Linked DNA regions of Elephas maximus indicus. The protein of the gene in region 1 interacts with the protein of each later gene in a pairwise test. Links are inferred from orthologs where the notes say so. Each region holds a gene or a part of one and is shown in the gene's direction. Other genes may lie near its edges.

What was found. The genes of interacting proteins can lie anywhere in the genome.
Region 2: the proteins of SUMO1 (region 1) and ZMYM5 interact in binary tests that used the Homo sapiens proteins (3 or more experiments, as listed by UniProt). The link is inferred for Elephas maximus indicus from reciprocal best matches to the Homo sapiens genes SUMO1 and ZMYM5.

The regions. Positions count from the first base shown.
Region 1 is NC_064824.1:101,097,663-101,101,408, reverse strand, and holds the start of SUMO1 (small ubiquitin-related modifier 1), read left to right. Parts: upstream 1-1,075; 5' UTR 1,076-1,219; coding exon 1,220-1,231; intron 1,232-3,746. UniProt on the Homo sapiens protein: Ubiquitin-like protein that can be covalently attached to proteins as a monomer or a lysine-linked polymer.
Region 2 is NC_064841.1:49,071,008-49,074,753, reverse strand, and holds the start of ZMYM5 (zinc finger MYM-type protein 5), read left to right. Parts: upstream 1-1,064; 5' UTR 1,065-1,162; coding exon 1,163-1,212; exon of another isoform or gene 1,213-1,769; coding exon of another isoform or gene 1,770-1,823; intron 1,824-1,947; exon of another isoform or gene 1,948-2,041; coding exon of another isoform or gene 2,042-2,061; intron 2,062-3,746. UniProt on the Homo sapiens protein: Functions as a transcriptional regulator.

The DNA.
Region 1 (3,746 bases):
TTGTTCTTCATATGTTCTGGACATTATGCCCTTATCAGATTATCTTTCATTTTGATGAAATTCAATTTATCTATTTTTTTGGTAGCTTGCATTTTTGATGTCACATTTACGAAACTACTGGCTAATCAAGGTAAAGGATATTTACACCTGTGTTTTGTCTTCTAAGCGTTTTACAGTTTTAGCTCGTAAATTTAGGTCTTTGAGTAAATATTTTATATGATGTGAGGTAGAGAAAACTTCATTCTTTAGCATGTGGATATCCAATCGTTCCAGCACCATTTGCTGAAAGACTATTCTTTCACCACTATCTGGGCATTTTTGTAAAAAATAGATTGTAAATATGAGGGTTGATCGATTTACTTCTGGACTCTCGATTCTATTTGTCTAGCCTTATGCCTGTAGTGTCATTGTATTTTTAAAAATTTTTATTGTACTTTAAGTGAAGGTTTACAAATCAAGTCAGTCTCTCACACAAAAACTTATATACACCTTGCTACATAGTGTCATTGTATTTTAGAGATTGTAAAAGGACAACTCTTTAACGCGAAACAAAGTATTCAAGGGTCGGAATTAACCTCCTCTCCTTAGGGACTGAGAACTTTCAGTAGCGTCTTGTTCATTAGTAGCCAAGGTTGTGTCCAATAGGATCTTTTTTTTTTTTTTTTAATCAAGGTTATGTGTTTGGCTGGAGCTAAAAGGGTTAGCTCCTGGGTAAGAAGTACCAGTATTTAATGCAACACACTTAAGAAACATTTACGACGAAGAAGACCGGAGGGGACAAAAGGAAGTTATCAGCTTTTGGCTCAGCCTTTAGAAACGCGCAAGGTGTAAGGTAGGAGTCTGAATTGTCAATGTCGTTCCCATACTGCGGCCGGGGACTTTTCCCCTGTGTATGGGCTCGGGACTGAGGCGCAGGGTCTGGTCCTTGGATGAACTGGCGAGATTTCGGTTAAATCACTCGCGCTTCCATCGGTATGGCCGCTCCCGGGCCCTGCCATCTCCGGGCCGCTCCCCCATCCGTTTTCCCGCCTCGCCATTCCTTCTCCCCCCATTTCCCCTCCCAGCGCGTAGCGGAAGTGACGGAAGGCGTAGCGGAAGTCCCTCCAGCCGCGGTGTTGTGCTGTGGGGAAGAGAGACGGATTTGTAAACCCCGGAGCGAGATTCTGTCTGCCCGAGGTCACTGCTGTGCGGAGACCCCTGGGGTGAAGCCACCGTAACCATGTCTGACCAGGTACCGGGCCGGGAGCCGTCCGACAGCGGCGGCGGGGCCGTAGCCGGCAAGTCCGCCAGGCGCCTGGCTGCGGCCGGGGATGGAGGCGCGGGGGAGGGGAACGGGGAATGGGGGAGGGGGCGGCCGGCCTGGACCCGGACAGCGAGGGAGGGGAGCTGGCGAGGGCCGGCACCGTCGGGGCTTGCCGCCGGCCTCCAGAAGCCGCCCCGCCCCTCTCTGAGCTCGCCCACCGCCCCCAAAGCCTCGGCGCCTCTGGTCACCGCCTCTCTCCCTTCGTCCCTCCTTTTCCTTGGGGTCTGCCAGGTGCAGAGCTCAGCTTCCACCTCCCAGAGAGGGTCCCTGGGGAACCCAGCCGCCTCACTCTCCTGAGGACTGATTGCAGAAGCAGGGCCTTAGGCCTCGGTTATGTAACGGGAGAGAATTCCCTGACTGGGAGGCTCCGTGGCCTTGAAAAGCAGATGGGTTTCACTTTTTGGACGCCGGTCTTTGGAAGGTCCCAGAGTGGGTAGGAGGGTGGAACTCGGGCTGGAAGATGTTGTTTGGTGCTGCTGGGAACTTAGGAAGATGTCTTCTGTTCGGAGGGTTACAGCTAGAGCCGGGCCGCCGCGTCTCTTTGAATCCTTTTTCCGTTTGGGGGTGCAGAGCTGTTGCCTCTTTACTTGTACTTTCCCATTTCTTACTTGGGATTGGTTCAGCAACTCTCCAGTTGTAACAGAGCACTCAGAATAACCAAGAAACAAAGCAGAACAAGAGTACTAGAACAACAGAAACCCCCTGCATCTGGACATTAACCTGGAGATGACTGATACCTCTGAGGAAAGAATAGGAAAACTAAGTGTATGTAGAGCAGTTGCAGAAAGCTGCCCCTATGACGAGGTGCTCCATCTCAATAGTCTTGTTAGATGCTGTCGAGTCGCTTCCGACTCATAACGACCCAGTGTTACTGTCAGGAATTTTCTTGGGATTTGAACCCAATCGGGAGTGATCGATTTTCCCAGCTAAGTTTTTTCCCCCATTCGTTCATCTCGTTAACCACGGTTATGGCTAGTTTTTAATTCACAAGGTTTTTGTCTGGTCTTTGTTTTAGTTGCTCAGAGGACTATGACTTTTTAAAGTATTTTTGGACCGTTTATTTGTTCAGTGACAGTTATAAAAAAATGTTTTTTGTTCAACTCTACAGTTTACTTGAACTTTTAAATTTAACACACGTTCCCTTGGCCTTTAACCAAGTTTTGTATATCTTGGTGAGAGCAAGTTAGGCCTTCGTGGATTTGTACTATTGCATAAAACTTACATTTATGTTTTTAAAAATTAACCATAATCTAAATTAGTTTCGAATGGGTCTAGATTAATTCCCAAGTTGGCTATGGGAATGGCATTATAAGTATTTCCCTAGACAGTTGTTTACTTGGTTGACAGAGAGGAAAGAACAGGTGTAAATGCTTAGTTTCATCAGCCTTTTACTGTGATGCTCAGAAGTGACTAGGATGCATGTTGAAATTTGCTACATAGCCTGAGGAAAGAGTAACACACAGAAAGAATTATAAAATAAATTGTAGAATTTTTTGCCCTGGTTTGAAGTTAGGTCATTTAAGAAAGACATGAAGGAAGAAACAAAGGGCCTACAATACTAACAAAGTGGCCTTGAGATTCTTTTCAGGGGATCTGGAAAGCCCAAACTATTTTCATGATGATGATGGGACTTTTTTTTTTTGCCCTTTTCATTCTCATTCTTTCCGTGGAGTTTCTAGAGGCTACGTGGCCTGTAATATCATAACAGATTGAATATAGAAGCAGATGTGAGAATCCTGCTGCATTCTGTTAAACCCAGAAAGTAAAGAGATTTGCAAAAAAACAGTGCCAAGCTTCCCATGAATTTTGTTTTGAAAAACCAGGGCTTGAGCCCACTTTTCAGACAAGATTAGACAGGCTTATAAAACAAAGAATAACACACGTGACGAATGTACTTCTTAGTTCAGTCGAATGTATGAGACCAAATGGGCAACTCCTGTCCAAAAGCAAGAGAAGAAGGCAGGAAAGGACAGGAACTGAATGAATGGACACAGGGAACCCGGGGTGGAAAGGGGGAGTGTGCTGTCACATTGTGGAGATTGCAACCAGTGTCACAAAACAATGTGTGTATAAATTTTTGAATAAGAGATTAGCTTCAGCTGTAAGCTTTCACCTAAGGCACAATAAAATTAAAAAGAACCCCCGCCCCCCCACCCAGGGCTTCTGAGCTGGATTATTTCGGTTCAAACCCCTTGCCAAGAATGTGCATTTCTACCCAGATATTCTGATTCAGAATCTACATTTTAACGAGATTCCTGGGTTATTCTTATGTATACTAACTTTTGAAAGCCACTGCCCTGCTAGTGGTTCTCAGGATTTGTTTCTAACCAGCAGTATTAGCATCTCCTGGGAATTTATTAACCAAAAAAAAAAAAAAAAAGCTGTTGCGATACACTTGATTCCGAATCACAGTGACCTTATAGGGCAGACTAGAACCGCCCTA
Region 2 (3,746 bases), on another chromosome or scaffold:
AGTACATGCACGGAACTGGAGCCTCCCCCCCCCCCCCCCGCCCCCCGCCGCCCCAACAAGGGAGCCCAGCTCCAGGGAAGCCCGCAGCTTCCTCCATCTTAGTTGCTGGAAGCGGAAGGGGCGTCTGGGTCCCTCCACGGTCGCGCCTGCCCTCCTCGGTCCCTCAGGGGCCGACCCTCAAGGCAGGGGCGGCTCCCCCGGCCTAATGGCGGAGCCCAGGCGGGCTTCTCGGGGCCAGGGGGCTTGGCATTGAACTCGTCCCAAAATAGCACAGCGTCCCGACAAAATGGAGGACGTCGTCTCCTGCTGCACCCACGGTGGTGGGGGGGGACTCTGTCCTACGGGGCGAGGCGAGGGTGGAAGGGCTTCCACTCAGTACCCTGGATTCCACCGCGCCCTCGGCCTCTGCTCCCCACTCGGTCTGGCCCCAGCCCTTCTCTACCGTGCCCCTCGCCCGCTGGGGCTCCAGGGAATGGACCGGGAGGGTGTTCGGGGCACCGAGGCTGGGTCTCTCCTCGGGAAGAGTCGTTCGGGGTCGCTACAGCGGCCTGCGTGCCCAGGCCCGGGCGAGAGAGGAGTGGCCCAGCCTCCGTCTCTCGGGCTGTCCTTGCCTTGGGGAGCCCGCTAGTACACCCGGAGAGCCAGCAGGCGACCAGTGCAAGGAGCCACAGGCATAGCATCCGCCTGATCCAGATGGCTAGCGGGGGTGGGGCACCGCGGGGAGGGTACTGGCGGGGAAGCAAAGAGGCGGCAGGTAGGGAGGGGAATGGAAACGCCAGAGGGTGTGGCCTGTGTCTGATGAACAGCCCTTTGGACAACCTCATCGAGGGGGTCCTGAAGGAAGGCAGATCGAGCCAATTGACGTGCCGGGAGCGCCGCGGCCCGTCTTCTCCCCAGCCAGTGAGGGGGCGGGGGAGAGGAAGGGGCGGGGCCTCCTCGGTCTGCGCTGCGCAGTCGCTGCCGCCGCCTCCTCCTCCACCTCCTTCTCCTCCTCTTTCTTGTTCTGCTTCTCATCAGCGCTAAACCCGGGACTGGACCCAGCGGAGTTGTGCTTGTTACCGAAGGGGGGGGTGGGTCGGGGGAGGGGAGGTTCGTTCCGCGGAGCCGCAGCCACAACCGGGTGAGGCTTGCCCCACTGTCTTCCAGTCCAGGTCCGGTGATAATGAGGGTGGCTGGGAACAGCGCAGCATCCGGAGGAAAAGGCGGATATGGGTGAGGGAAGTCTCCGGAGCCTCCCTCCCACCCAGGATTAATTTCCCGTGGTATGGCCGCCGTCGCCGCTGTCGCGCTGGGGCCTCGGGGGCTCCTCCGGGAGCCACTGATGTCACCAGTGCCTCTCCGGGAGGTCCGAAGGACAGCAAGGCCGAGCCCGGAGGGCTGGGTGAGGCGGTGGTCGCTCGGGGCGGGGTTGGCCCGGGGCTGCGGCCGTCGGGAAGTCGCTGAGGTATTTTTCCTTTCTTTCCTGCTGGGGGAGGCAGGGGAGGGGCGCCTCCGTTCGCGCTTTTGCTCTCTGGGCTGCACTCACAGCCTTTTCCGTAGCCCGCTGCCTCCAAGTTTTTCGGGGCGAAGGCTGCCGCCTCCTCCCTGCCGGGTCCCTCCTTCTCTCTGCTCCTTCGTGGAGCTGCGCGGCTGCTGCTCCTAACGTCTTACTTGGCCGAGTTTCTAATGGCGAACGTGAATCCGTTGCTGATTGCGGGGTAGGGGCGCGAACTGCTCAGGCCCAGGACAACTGCTGGGGGGCACATGTAGGGCGTGTTGGTACAGCGGAGATGGGAACAGCTCCTTACCTCGGAATTGATCCTGAAGTGACGGGATGTTGCTGGGTGGGTAAATTTAGGAGGGAATACAATCCTTTCCTGGGTTTGCCCTTCCCCCTCCTCCAACCTCCCATTAAGTATTTCGCATTGTCAGGTAGTTGTGGTTCTTAATCTTTTTTTTTAAACATAGCTTCTCTACTAAATTGAGCTGGGGGAAGGTAGAAAAGCGCCCAAGCTCCTTGACCTCTTAAACTTTGCCTCCTCCCTCTGGTGGTTAAGAGTTGATGCTGCGTACAGGTTGGGAGTAAGTAAATCATTTTTATTGCTCCTCTCGTTTTAAGACCAGGAACCACCCTCAGCCCTATCCGGTGAAACATTTACAGAAATTAAGAAGGAAAACATTCTCATTGTGAGTCACTTTACCCCGCTTTTCTAGTAGGCTTAGTGCAATAGTTGGATGTTCTTCCTGTGGGATTTGCCTTTCTGTGAAGAGCTAACTGCTTGGGTGGCAGCTGTCCCCAGAGTCAAGGCAGGGTAATTCCTGGGAAGAAAGTGAGAGCAGACGCTGGTATTTACACCACTGATACTCGCTGGAATTCTCAAGTAAGACTTGAAGTTAATTCCTTTTTAAATGTTTTGCCTTTAACATTTTTTTCTTTTCAGTCGATAGAATTAATTTTTTTTTTCTTAGCTGTTGGATTTTTAAAACTCCTGAGTTTTCTGTTGTCTTAAGGTTGAGGAAAAGAGAATCTTTTTCATGTGTTTGCCTTATATTTGAGGAAGGCTCTTATGTACCCTGATATTCCTCCAGCTAGTATGTTTTTTTTTTTTTTTTTTTTTAGTATGTTGGTCAGATCTAATCAGTCAGAGGCTTTCCAAAATGCAGAAAAAAAAAAAGTGCAGGGAGGTTGGTAAATATATTCTCTGGCAGTGCAGTCATTCCTGGACACAATTCTGTACTGTGAAAGAGGATGCAGCAATTTGGGGTGGATAGCAGCTCTTGCCAAAGTAGTGTCAAATAGTCAAAAAAAAATTTTTTTTATTGCAAGCTATTAGATATTTGCTGTTTTGGCTATGACGAGATGACCACTGGAGGATATTTCTGGGACAGGAAATCGTATTAAGTACTTACTAAAAAAGAGTCCCTGGGTACTGCACGCAGTTAACATGCTTGGCTGCTAACCAAAAGGCTGGATGTTTGAGTCCACCCAGAGGCACTTGGGAAGAAAGACCTCCTGATCTATTTATGAAAAATCAGCCATTGAAAACCCCACAGAGCACAGTTCTACTCTGACATATATGGGGGCGACATGAGTGTAATCAATTCCATGACACTGGATTTTTTTCTACGCTGTACAAAGTGTCGGGCATTGATTATTGTAATCGCTGCAAATAAATTGTACATCTGTAAAAAAAAAAAAAGAGTAGCTGCTGAAGCTGCTTATGTACAGCCAAAAACCTCGTGGAATTTGGTTTCTTAGTTTGCAGGTTTAGGGTCATGGTTTCATTGGACATACCCCTTAATGGTTCTGATAACATGTTTAGTGCTTCTGTTCTACCTTCTAATTCATTGAGTAGTGCCGGGGTCCTAAAAGCTTGCAAGTGGCCACCCAAGGCGTGAGAATTGATCTCCGCCTGGAAGGAGCTGCAGAGGAAGGAGAGTCAGGAATAGGAGGAGGGTATGGAATGTGTGGCTAATTGCCTCCATGAACAACTGCCTCCTTTGCCATGAGACCAGAAGAACTAGATGGTGTTCAGGTACCATTACTGAACATTTTGGTCAAAGATTTTATAGAGGAAACCTAGGGAGGAAAATGCAGAACAGCATTTGAAATTCTTATTGTCTCCAGACTTGGAGCCAGGAAGTTTGACTGACTCCCTCAAACTATTGCCCTGAGATAATCTTTAAATCTTAAACCAGAAATATCCCTGACATTTTCTTAAAACGAAGTAGTAGTTTAGCTTAACTAGTAAAAACAATATGTCTGC